Linked DNA regions of Macaca fascicularis. The protein of the gene in region 2 interacts with the protein of the main gene of each other region in a biochemical or structural test. Links are inferred from orthologs where the notes say so. Each region holds a gene or a part of one and is shown on either strand. Other genes may lie near its edges.

The links. The genes of interacting proteins can lie anywhere in the genome.
Region 1: the proteins of ERBB2 (region 2) and FGR form a complex in vitro, tested with the Homo sapiens proteins (2 studies listed by BioGRID and IntAct, with this or other methods). The link is inferred for Macaca fascicularis from reciprocal best matches to the Homo sapiens genes ERBB2 and FGR.
Region 3: the proteins of ERBB2 (region 2) and SH2B3 form a complex in vitro, tested with the Homo sapiens proteins (2 studies listed by BioGRID and IntAct, with this or other methods). The link is inferred for Macaca fascicularis from reciprocal best matches to the Homo sapiens genes ERBB2 and SH2B3.

What each region holds. Positions count from the first base shown.
Region 1 is NC_088375.1:207,431,477-207,435,934, reverse strand, and holds the start of FGR (tyrosine-protein kinase Fgr), read right to left. Parts: upstream 2,968-4,458; 5' UTR 2,870-2,967; intron 1-2,869. UniProt on the Homo sapiens protein: Non-receptor tyrosine-protein kinase that transmits signals from cell surface receptors devoid of kinase activity and contributes to the regulation of immune responses, including neutrophil, monocyte, macrophage and mast cell functions, cytoskeleton remodeling in response to extracellular stimuli, phagocytosis, cell adhesion and migration.
Region 2 is NC_088390.1:60,785,867-60,789,369, reverse strand, and holds part of ERBB2 (receptor tyrosine-protein kinase erbB-2), read right to left. Parts: intron 3,206-3,503; exon of another isoform or gene 3,003-3,205; coding exon 2,864-3,002; exon of another isoform or gene 2,784-2,863; coding exon 2,661-2,783; exon of another isoform or gene 2,407-2,660; coding exon 2,308-2,406; intron 1,526-2,307; coding exon 1,340-1,525; intron 1,194-1,339; coding exon 1,038-1,193; intron 923-1,037; coding exon 847-922; intron 571-846; coding exon 424-570; intron 1-423. UniProt on the Homo sapiens protein: Protein tyrosine kinase that is part of several cell surface receptor complexes, but that apparently needs a coreceptor for ligand binding. Essential component of a neuregulin-receptor complex, although neuregulins do not interact with it alone.
Region 3 is NC_088385.1:118,293,838-118,298,358, reverse strand, and holds the start of SH2B3 (SH2B adapter protein 3), read right to left. Parts: upstream 2,968-4,521; 5' UTR 2,873-2,967; intron 2,076-2,872; exon of another isoform or gene 1,721-2,075; intron 1-1,720. UniProt on the Homo sapiens protein: Links T-cell receptor activation signal to phospholipase C-gamma-1, GRB2 and phosphatidylinositol 3-kinase.

The DNA.
Region 1 (4,458 bases), on a different chromosome or scaffold from region 2:
ACCCTGTGTGACTCCACCACCACCATGGTGAGGCCAGGTGTGTGCAGGGGGTGTTTGGGGGTAGCCTTTACCCTCCATGTGGTCCCGAAGCCATCAGCAGTTTTTTCCACTTCTTGTGGGTAAAAGCTGTTTTCCACCTGTTGCTGAAAACCACCCACCAGCCTCTAAAACACAGCTCTTTAGGTGCCATCTGTCCTGGGACTCAGGATTTTCAGGAGATGGGAGCCATGGGGGTGTCCAGGGGCAGGCGAGGGATGGGAGTCTAGATTTCAGTGTGACCAGACAGGAAGCCCCGTCCCCGGTTCCTCAGGGGAGGGGGGCGGTGAGGAGGACATCCTGCCTTTTCCCACCTTAGGTCAGCCCAGTCTGCTCCCCGTGGGAAAAGCCCTGCCCCTACTTCTCCAGCTCTGGGGTTCCCTACTCAGCCTCCTGAGGTCTGGCCACTTCCTTTGCCACATCAGCTCCAGGTGGCTGCAGAGAACACCCGAACATCCACCTGTGTGCTCAAGGGTTCATGCTCATTCACTCAGAGACCAAAACATACAAACACTCACACCCTCACTGGAGGAGGGCATGGGAGCACCGACTCACTGGAACGGGAAGTGGTCATGAAGCCCTGGAATCCCACACCCTCCTCCCTGGTGGGGACATGAAACTTGGTCTGGATGAGGTAAGGATTCAGGCCTCAGCTCAGGCTACATCAGAGACGAGATGTCCTGGACTTCTGGTCCCTACTGTTGGCCCTGCAGGTTGCCAACTCCCAAATCTCCATCTTCCCATCTGTGAAGTGGGACCAGGGTCCTGCTCTCCCATCACCACCACAGTCGGAAGGATGCTGAGGACGTCAGGGTCCTTGAGAGTACACACCCGAGGTGTGGCCAACTGGGTGCGGCACCAGAGAGGGTGCGAGACAGATTTCAACTCTGCTGACCTCCCCAGTGTGGGCCCTCATCAGAGCCATAGACTGTTTATTTAGATGTCAACTGAGCGCTGGTCCCTGGAGGCCCTGTCAGTGAGAGCAGGGCTGTCTGGTCCTCATCCATGCTTTTTGTTGCTGTTTTTTTGTTTTTGTTTTTGTTTTTTTTGAGACGGAGTCTCACTCTGTCGCCCAGGCTGGAGTGCAGTGGCCGGATCTCAGCTCACTGCAAGCTCCGCCTCCCGGGTCCACGCCATTCTCCTGCCTCAGCCCCCCGCACCCCCCCCAGTAGCTGGGACTACAGGCCCCCGCCTCGTCCAGCTAGTTTTTTGTATTTTTTTAGTAGAGACGGGGTTTCACCAGGTTAGCCAGGATGGTCTCGATCTCCTGACCTCGTGATCCGCCCGTCTCGGCCTCCCAAAGTGCTGGGATTACAGGCTTGAGCCACCGCCCCCGGCCTCATCCATGCTTTTTGTTGCTGTTTTTTACAGACAAAATCTCACTCTCTCACCCAGGAGCTCTCACTGCAGCCTTGAACTCGTGGATTCCAGCGATCCTCCAGCCTCAGCCTCTGCAGTAGCTAGGACTATAGGCAGGTGCCACCACTTCTGGCCTTCCGGCTAACTATATTTTTTTGTAGAGACAGGACGGGGGTCTCCCTGTGCTGCCCAGGCTGGTCTCCTCTGCATGCTTTTGAGATAGTGAAGGGGAGGCTCGCTGAGTCAGGGATAGCCCTTAACCCTTCAGGACACTCAGCAAATACTGCTTTCTACACCTGATCCTCGTGGGGGAAGGGTGGACACGAGGATAATTTCTCCCCATAGTTCAGATGAGGAAAAGGAGGCCCAGAGAAGCCCCGTAACTTGTCTACAGTCACACAGCAATTAAGGGCCCAGTCTTGCTAAGAACCCAGGTCTCTCAAACAGCAGATCCTCCAACTCAGGATCCCTAAACACAGCGGCATCGCGCCCTCCTAAGTCGGGAAGCCCCCCCCCCCCCACCAGACCGAGGATTCAAAAAGGGGGCGAAGGTGGAGAGCAAAGGGGGCTGCCCCCGCCAGGAGCCCCGCGGCGGCCCAGTGCGGCCCGCCCTCGCGTTGCCATGGAGGCAGCCCCTGCGGGCACTGGCGGTCAAAGGCAGGATTTCCGTCGGGGAGGCAGCAATTCCCGGATCCCGCGGGGAGCGCGGGCCGAGACCGCCGCGGGCGCGGAGGGGGCGCCCGGAGAGGCCAGTCCCTGCTGAGGGCGGGGACTTCCCCAGGAAGAGGGGACCCACGCCTTGCGCACCGGGAAGGAGTCCCCTGCAGCCCGGAACCCACCGCAAGGGCGGGCCGGGAGGGTCGCGGCCGCCTACGTTACCCTGCGGGTTGTGGGCTTCACCCCGACTTCGGCCGGCTCGGAAAAGGGGAACTTCCTGGACCCGCAATTGCACCTCAGGTTCTCCGTCCTCCAGAGATCGTTCTCCTCGACCCTCTTCCCGCCAGCTTCCTCACCTGTTCCCTCCAGCACCCCCACCCATTTCCCTTCTCCCGGACCCATCAGACCCGTCGGCTTCTCCCCGAAGTCCCACTCTCACGATCCCTCCAGTTTCTCCCACAGACCCTCCTGGGGTTCCCCTTAGTCCTTCTCCCCCGCCTGTCTTAGCCCCCCTTCCTAAACTCTCGTAAGTCCCCTCCATTCTACCCACTAGACCTTTTTGGGGTCCCTTTGGTCGGCTTCCCCGGTGCTCCCCTCCGCCCTCTCCCCCAGGTTTATCAGCCTTGCTCTCCAGGTCGCCAGTTTTACTCCTTAGGCCTTTTCGGGCTGGGGTCCCTTTGGCTGTCACCTTGCTCAGGTGTCCCCCCACACCCATGTTCAGGCTTCTCTTCCCCTCCACCCCCAGTCCTCTCCCCAGAGCCCCGAGGGGGAGGGCACTGCCTGACCTGCCCAGCCCCCACCCGACGCGGTCTCTTACCTGGAGCCAAATTCTGCCTGGCCCCGGAGCGAGCCAGCCGGGGCTCCAGCAGCCGCGAGTGCCGGCGTGCGGGGAGAACTGGGGTGCTGCCCGCTTCTGACCGCCGCCCCTGCTGGGCAGGGAGGAGGAAGCCGCCTCGGACTTCTCTTATTGCAGTCGCGGCGGGCGGGCGGTGGTGGTGGCGGGGAGACAGTCACGCCCCAGCCCCAAGCCAGCTGCCCGCAGCGAGGAGGCGCCCTCAGATCCCAGGCCCACCCGCCCCCACCTTCCTCCTCCCCAGGTTACGGGAGGTCAGGTCTGTCACCCTCCAGACCTGAGTCCCCAGCACGGCCTTCCCAAAGGCCCCCTCCAAAAGTGCAGTTTTCGCACCCCTGAAGCACCTGTTCTTTCAGGATCATTGAATTGGAGGTTAAGAGGGGCTTTTCTCCATCACTGAGGACCAGATCGGGACTGGCCTTACTCGAGTTCTCACAGCCAGTTGACTTCAGACTGCTGTCACCAGAGCCACTGGACATGGATCACTTGGACCCTGTCAGCATGCCTTCCCTTCCTCAGGGGCTGGGCACTGGGGACACAGGGCAGTGAGCAGCAGAGGACCTTTCTGTTAGGCAACTGCCTTTCAGAGGAGCGGGAAGGGTGTCAGCCTCCCCCACACACCCAAGTTTTAGAAAAACTGGGCAGGGGGCAGTGGCTCAGCCTGTAACCTCAGCACTTTGGGAGGCTGGGTGGGAGGATTGCTTGCGCCCAGGAATTCCAGACCAGCCTGGGCAACATAGGGAGACACCATCTTTTGTTTTCTAAATTAGCTGGGTGTGCTGTTGTACCCCTGTGGTCCCAGCTACTGTGGAGGTTGAGGTGGAAGGATCCCTTGAGTCAGGCGGGTCGAGGCTGCAGTGAGCTGTGATTGAGCTACTGCACTCTAGCTTGGGTGACAGAGAAAGACCCTGCCTTAAAAAAAAAAAAAAGAATGTGGGTTTTGTTGCAGAAAATGATTTTTTTTTTTAAAGAAAAAAGAAAAACAGTATCTTAGAACATGTGGAAAAAGATTTTTAAAAACAAGAGAAACAGTAGTATCCTCTATCAGTTCCAATCTCTCTGTCTGGTAGGGATCCCTGACCCTTCCTCAACCTGGGGTTCAGTCCCCACTCCCACCACTGTTACTTCAGCCTTAAAAGCAAGAACCCGGAATATCCCTCCTGTCTAGGAAAGGAAGAGGTGTGGTGGGGAGGGCTGTTTGGTGGAGAAGTATGTGTCAGTTGGGATGTGGTGAGAGGCAGGGAGAGTGTGTATAAACACAGAAGAGAGAGAGAGTGTGTGTGTGTGTGTGTGTGTGTGAGAGAGAGAGAGAGAGAGAGAGAGAGGGAGAGATAGAGAGAGAGAGAGACAGAGAGAAAGAGAGAAAGCAATGACATGATGACTTTGCTTTTGGAATCAACAACTAGGCCACGGCATGCAGGCAGGTGTGTTTGTATGTATGGGCAGGAGCGTGTGGGGATGTATGTGTGCATGCGTTCACATGCTCAAGTATGTCCCAATGTGACTGGGGTAACAGAGTGGTGGGATGCAGATAAGAATGCTTTTCTCTTAGG
Region 2 (3,503 bases):
TCAACTGGGCTCAAGTGATCTTCCTGCCTCAGCCTCTCCCGAGTAGCTGGGACTACAGGCACACACCACCACACCCAGCGAATTTTTTTATTTTTTGTAGAGATAGGGTCTCACTGTGTTGCCCAGTCTGGTCTTGAACTCCTGGCTTCAAGGGATCTTCCCACCTCAGCCTCCCAAAGTACTGGGATTACAGGCATGAGCCACTGTGCCCAGCTTAATATTGTACATAAGGTTCTCTAGTTGTTCCTCAAGAGTGGCTTTGGACTTTGACTGTAAAAGGGATATGAGAAGGTTTTGAGGCTCCTAATATACCAGGGTTCCTGGGTCTACATACATCCTGGTCCCCTTTCATGCCCTTTGTGGGCTTCTCGACCCAGGACCTCCCACCCTCCTCCAGGCAGCCCGCACAGCTCAGCCACGCACATTTGACCATGATCATGTAGACATCAATGGTGCAGATGGGGGGCTGGGGCAGCCGCTCCCCCTTTTCCAGCAGGTCAGGGATCTCCCGGGCTGGGATCCCATCGTAAGGTTTGGCCCCAAAAGTCATCAGCTCCCACACAGTCACACCTAAGGCAGAGACAGGGTCAGGAGTGGGAGGGCCAGAGGTTCTGCCCAGGAGTCTGGCATCATGGCAGCAGGGGGGAGATGTGATGCCAGGAGACAGAATCTACCCAGTCTTTCCCTAATCCTGGGAAGTGCACAGACCCTGCAAGGTGGGGCACAGGCAGCCCCTTCCCTCCCTCCACATGCTGAGGTGGCCCCATAATTCTCCCCATCCCAGCTCTCATCCTCCCTCCAGCCATGACTCCTCACCCACCCCTCCCAACACTCCCCACCACACACCATAACTCCACACATCACTCTGGTGGGTGAACCGCCGTCGGAGAATGGACTCCAGCGCCATCCACTTGATGGGCACCTGGGAGGGCAGAAGAGGAAGTCCTCCAACTGTGTGTGGTGGGGAGGTGGCCACTCAGAGTTCTCCCAGGGGCCAGACCCCACTCCACCCGACTTCCTCTGCTCCTTCACCTAACCTTGCCCCCATCTGCATGGTACTCTGTCTCGTCAATGTCCAGCAGCCGAGCCAGCCCAAAGTCTGTAATTTTGACATGGTTGGGACTCTTGACCAGCACGTTCCGAGCAGCCAAGTCCCTGTGTACGAGCCGCACATCCTCCAGGTAGCTCATCCCCTGGAATGGGAAGCACCCAGGTAGACCTTCTGGGAGGGCCTGGCCCTGGTCATATGCCCAGGAAGAGTCCCCATCCTAGCCCCTTGTGGACATAGGGGCTTGCTCCAAAGGGACCCGCAAAGAGCCCAGGTGCCCTAAGTGCATACCTTGGCAATCTGCATACACCAGTTCAGCAGGTCCTGGGAGCCCAGGCGTCCACGGTTTTCTCGGACATGGTCTAAGAGGCAGCCATAGGGCATAAGCTGTGTCACCAGCTGCACCGTGGATGTCAGGCAGATGCCCAGGAGGCGGGAGACATATGGGGAGCCCACACCAGCCATCACGTATGCTTCCTGGGGACAAGGGTACACTGAGAGGGTATGGGAGACCTCACACCCCCAAACACCACACAGTCTCCCAACCATCACACAGCCTCCCAACCACCACACACCCCCAAACACCACACAGCCTCGCAACCACCACACAGCCTCCCGACCATCACAAACCACAGCCGCGGCTCACGGCCTGTGAATGCCCAAAGTACCAGCCTGGCCAACATGGTGAAACCCCGTCTCTACTAAAAATACAAAAATTAGGCCGGGCACGGTGGCTCACGCCTGTAATCCCAGCACTTTGGGAGGCCGAGGCAGGCGGATCACGAGGTCAGGAGTTTGAGACCAGCTTGGCCAACATGGTGAAACCCCATCTCTACTAAAAATACAAAAATTAGCCGGGCGTGATGGCTCACACCTATAATCTCAGTTACTCAGGAGACTGAGGGAGGAGAATTGCTTTAACCTGGGAGGCCGAGCCAAGACCACGCCATTTCACTCCAGCCTGGGTGACAGAGCGAGACTCTGTCTCAAAAAAAAAAAAAAAACAGGCAGGTGCTTGTAATTCCAGCTACTCAGGAGCCTAAGGCATGAAAATCGCTTGAGCCCAGGAGGTGGAGGTTGCAGTGAGCTGAGATCACGCCACTGCACTCCAGCCTGGGTGACAGAGCAAGGCTCCGTCTCCAAAAAAATAGTCTAGGTTTGCGGGAGTCATATCTCCCCAAACCCCAATGAAGAGACCAGAGCCCAGACCTGCAGCCATGGGGTCCTTCCTGTCAGCAGAAGAGGGTAGAGGGGCTTACGTCTAAGATTTCTTTGTTGGCTTTGGGGGATGTGTTTTCCCTCAACACTTTGATGGCCACTGGAATTTTCACATTCTCCCCATCAGGGATCCAGATGCCCTGGGCAGAAAGAAGAGGATGTGAGTGAGAAGAGCGTGGGCTGGATCCTACCTGCCTTCCAGGAGATCATTACTTGTGCTCCAAACATCCTTCCCCACCCTGGGGCTTGCTCCCGTTCCCTTCTGCTCCGCTGTAACTGCCCTCCCCCAAATACTGCCTCCGGCTCTTGCCCCTCCCATCGGAACTGCCGACCACACCCCTCCAGGCACCGCCCCCACCTTCTGGGGCCGCCCACCCCAGGACCTGGCTCTGACCTTGTAGACTGTGCCAAAAGCTCCAGATCCAAGCACCTTCACCTTCCTCAGCTCCGTCTCTTTCAGGATCCGCATCTGCGCCTGGTTGGGCATCGCTCCACTCGGTGTCAGTGGCTCCACCAGCTGGGGTGAGGGGGTGGTGGGTCAGTGCCGGGAGCCAGTGGAGACCCCACGCGGGCTGGCAGGCCTTCACCCCGCCTTACCTCCGTTTCCTGCAGCAGCCTCCGCATCGTGTACTTCCGGATCTTCTGCTGCCGTCGCTTGATGAGGATTCCAAAGACCACCCCCAAGACCACGACCAGCAGAATGCCCACCACAGCAGAGATGATGGACGTCAGAGGGCTGGGGGCGGAGCCAGGGTCAGGGATTGAGGGCTAGTTTGGGGTAGGAGGGACAAAGGGGGCCCACGGGGGACATGAAGAAGGTGTTTGGCATTCAGAAAGGGAAGTCGGAAGGGTGACCCACAGGCTTGGACCCTCTCCTACTCTAAACCTGCCTTGGCTCCGCACTGCCTCCACAATAAAGTCCAAACTCCTTGTAGGCAATCAGAGCCCTCTCCATATCTCCAGATTCTCTATACTTGGTTCTCTAGCCTTGGCTCTGCCTTAGAGCTCCAACACTTTATGGTGTAAAAATCACTAAGGATGCTGGGCACAGTGGCTCACGCCTGGAATCCCAGCACTTTGGGAGGCTGAGGCGGGTGGATCACAAGGTCAGGAGTTCGAGACCGGCCTGGCCAACATAGTGAAATCCCGTCTCTACTAAAAATACACACAAAAAAATGAGCTGGGCATGGTGTGAGTGCCTGTAATCCCAGCTGCTTGGGAGACTGAGGCAGGAGAA
Region 3 (4,521 bases), on a different chromosome or scaffold from region 2:
GGTGCTCATTACACACTGGCTCATTAAATCTCCACTGCAAACCTGTCACTCCCCCATTTTACACAGGGGGAAACTGAGGTTCACAAGAGTCACTTGCCCACGCCTTCAGCTGAATGGAGGCAGTAGGAGCAGCAAAACAGTCTCCAGGACCCTCCTCACTATCCTCCTTCGCTTCCTGCTGAGCCCCTGCAGACCCTGAGCCCCCAGCTGCTGATGCTCCGGGCCAGCCCCTTCCCAGCTGGCCACTCTGTGGCCCACGGGGACTCACAGAAGTTCTAGGAATGCTCACCCTTTGGCTCAGAAGGATTTTCCCTCCCAGAGGGGGGTTGTGGGAAAAGGCTCAAGAAAAGTGCACTAAAAACCCTTCCACCTTCCCCCAGTAGGCCCTGGTTCTCATCCCCAGAGCCCAGCCTGCCCAGGTGGCCTCTGCCGGCTCTCCCTCCACGAGGGCAGGTCCCGAGGAGCCTCCAGAGCTGTTTCCACTCAGGCAGCCAGGTCAGTGATGGGAAACCCAGACACAACCTGCGCCTGCATCCCTGGAGACCCACCCGCCCACTGCCCTGGCAGGGGCCCTGAGGCCTGGCTGCTGGCCGGTGTTAGAGAACTGTCATCTCCCCAGCGAGGGGCTGCAAGTCAGATCTGGGTCCCTCTTGCCACCAAAGCAGGCCCTGCCGACATCGCCTTGCCGGGGCCTCTACTCGGAACCCCCGACCAGATTTCACTTCCTCCCACTCAGCCCAGCCTGGCCGTACCCCTCCCTGGAGGCCCCCAGCTGCAGGCAGTGACCTCCTCACCTACATCATTGTGGCTGGGAATGGGGAAGAGAAACAGGAGAATGAGGAAACTAAAGAAAAAAAGAAGCGGGACAGGCAGGAAGACCCTCCTCTCCAGTTCCTCAAATGCAGTCCCCCTCCCTCAAAACAAAGCTCCCCTGGCCGGAGGGAGGGAAGGGAGGGGAGGGGATTTCTGCACCAGGCATCAGAGGCCTCTGAAATACCCTCCCTACCGTGTGGATCCAGAAGACCAACACACACTCCAGACGTTTTTTGGTCGGGGGATTCCCAGGGAACCCCAGGCCAGAGGTGTGAGAGGATCAATCCCAGAAACCTGTGTCTGGGACGCCTAGCCCTGGTGAACCGCCCAGTTCAGCAGCATGCGGGGGCCTGGCCCGGCCCACCTCGGCAGTGCTGGGACTAGGGAGAGGGGCTTCCTGAATCAGGGCGCTACCCTCTTAGCCACATGGTCCGGAATGGGGAGTGGGGAGGACCGGCGCATCCTTCCCCGCTGCCCCCACACCCAAGGGCTCATCTGTGCTCACGGTCTCAGTTTGACTACTTTCACTTTCAGGGTAGCAATGGGTGACCCCTCACCCCTCCTCCCCAGGCACAAGTTGAGGGGAGGGCCGCCCCCAATCGGCGAGGCTACTGTAGGGTGGGCTGGGGACGTCAGCGATGCCCTCTCCCCCATCCCACGGCCGCAGTTACCCGAACGCTCTCCCCAACACGTGTGTGGGTGGGGTAGTGGCTGAGTGGCTGAGTGGGGGTCGTAGGCGCTGGGAGCCGTCACCCCGGAACGCCTCCATCTGAGTTAGCTGCAGGGCAGTATTTTGGGCTGGGGGTGACGCGCACAGCCCGGGCAGAACTGGACACGGGGCCTCCCCTTTCCCCACGAAAGCCTTCCCGGCCCCGGAGGAGGGGGGCGCGGGCAAACGCGGGCTCACCTGAGAGACAGGAGCTCTGGGCCCGGCCGGCCCATGGCGTCGCGCGCCCCCGGGCCCCCGAAATCCCGAGGGGGCGGGCGGGCCCCCGCCCTGGGCGCGTCCTCTCCCGCGCGCCGGCTCCTCGCTCGCGGCTCGCTCTAGCGGGGCTCAGGCAGGAAACCCGGGCTCGGAAAATGGCCAGCGCCTCATCATTTCCGCCGCCAGCGCTTGACAGTTGCGGGAGGATGCGCCCCCGGGCCGCCGCCGCCGGGGAAACTTTGCAGCGGCCGCCGTCGCCACCGCGGGCCACGACAGTCCGGGCGGGCAGCCGGGCGGAGGCGGTGGCCCGGGCCCATGCCGCCCCGCGCCGTTATGTAAAGAGGAACCGGCTGTGCGAGCGGAGCCCGGCGGGGGAGGGCGGCCGCGACAGGGGCGGGGCAGGGGCGGGGACACCAGGAGCCACGCCCCAGGCCGCGCGCGAGTTGGAGACTCGGCTGGAGGGGAGGGCCATGAGGGCGGAGCCAGGACTGGCCCCGCCTGCCAATTCTGCTAGTCCGCGGCTGCCCGGGTCCGAGGGCTCTCCTGGCGCGGGTCCGGAAAAAGACGAGGCCTTGCGAAGCCACGCCCACCACGTGCCCACCCTATTTCGCGTCCCACAGCCTAAAGAAGGAAGGAGGATCGGAGGGGCGGGGCGACCTGAGCCCCACCCACTGAACGCCGGCAGGTCACCAGGTGCCTCAGCGCCTGGAGGCGGGGCCAGATGAAGGGGCGGGGCCTAGGGCGGGCGGGGTCGAGCGGCCTGGCCTCCAGGGGGCGCGCCCCTGCTGACTCCCTCCTGCAGGGCCTTATCAGTGCCCGCAGGGCTGGGCAGTGCAATAGCGACCACGGCTTTCATCATCGCCCGGGGGAGGGAGCCTAGCCCTGCCCGGTCCTGACTATCTGCGATCATGCTGACCCGACCCGCCACGGCCCCAGGCCCCCGATTTGGGTTCTGGTCCCAGCCCTCAGCTTCGCCTTTGCTACAGCCGATGCCCGTATAGACCAGCCTCCCTCCGGCCACCCGTCCTGTCCCCCAATTCTAGGAGGGGTGCATCTTTCTCCAGGAATTCCTCTCGGACCGCTGGCTCCCGTGGACTCTGCGCCCACCGCCCTGCTCGCCCCTGGGCTACTTACATTTTCTCCACGGCCTCATGGGGAGCTGAGGCTGACAGTGGGGTTCCCCCTAGTCCGGAGTGGGGCATGCTCTCAGCCAGCCTCTCCCCCAACATGTGGGAGGTCGGGGAGGGAGGAATGTACTCTTCTCCCCCTCCCCCAACAGGAAACAAGTCGCCCACGCCCCCAGCTTGGAGGGGCCACCTCAAGCCTTCCCGGGCAGCAAATGTCTCCATTCCACTGCCTCCCCCTCTTCCTACCCGGGCAAATGACTTGACTTCTCCGTACCTCCACTTCCTTGCCTATGAAATGGAAATAATGTGTACCCACTCTCCTGGCAGTGAGAATTAAGTGAGTTAATGCATTAAAGCAGTTATCTCGAGGCTTGGCTCCAGGAAGCGCTCTGTGTTAAACAAACCGGCCTCAGTCCTGGCCTTAGAGCTACAGGAAGGGGTTCCCCATAAGGTGGGGATTTCCAGACTCTAAGTAGATGGGGGAAGGGAGCCAGTCTGCTACAGGATTCCTGGTGTCCAATGGCCTTGAAGAAAAGGACCACAAAAATCTGCTTTCCGCGCATAGGTACGAAATACCTACTATGTGCCGAGCACTGTTCTGGGTGCTGGGAACACAGCAGTGAACAACACAAATATCTCTGCCTGCGTGGAGCTGATATTCTAGTGGGGGGACATAAAGGCACGAATAAGTAAGAGGGATCAGTTATGACAATGACAAAACAGTTATGGGATGGAGAGCGGGAAAGGGGTGTCTTAGAGCCGCGACTCACGTAGGACACCTCTGAGGAACTAACATGTGAGCTTAGAATCCCCCACAACAAGAAGGATCCAGGTGCTATAACGTCTGAGGGAAGAGCATTCCAGGCCAAAGGAACAGCATGTGCAAAGGTGCTGAGATGGGAATACATGTGGTGCATTGGAAGAAAGTCATAAAGGCAGTGGTGATACCTATACTGATAAGAGATGATGTTTCAAAGGTGGGCCCATCAAATGGTGTCTTGAAGGTCTTGGTGGGGACTTTGGGAATTATTCTGAGGGCAGTAGGGTGCCATGGAGGGTTGTGAGGAGAAGGACCTGTTGAGCATGGGATTCAAGCTGTTCGCACAGCGTCTGAGGATGTGGGAAGAGGGGTGGGGTGGGGGAATGTCAATGAAGTCTAAACGAGGCCGAGTGCAGTGGCTCACACCTGCAATCCCAGCACTTTGGGAGGCCGAGGCCAGCAGATCACCTGAGGTCAGGAGTTTGAGACCAGCCTGGTCAACATGGTGAAACCCTGTCTCTACTAAAAATATATAAATTAGCCGGGCATGGTGGCAGGTACCTGTCATCCCAGCTACTGGGGAGGCAGAGGCAGGAGAATCACTTGAACCCCGGATGTGGAGGCTGCAGTGAGCCAAGACTGTATCACTGCATTCAAGCCTGGGAGACAGAGCTAGGTTCTGTCTCAAAAAAAAAAAAAAAAAAAAAAAAAAGTCTGAACGGATCATCCCATATTATTTGATCACTTTCTTATACCTGGGGACACTGAGGCCAAGATAGGACCGTTACTTGTCTGTAGCCGTGCACCTGCCAGGCGGCACCCACAGAGCAGCCTGGTACCCAGCCAATGCCAAATGGCTGCTGAAATCTGCCAGCCACAAGCACTTTCCCTCTCAC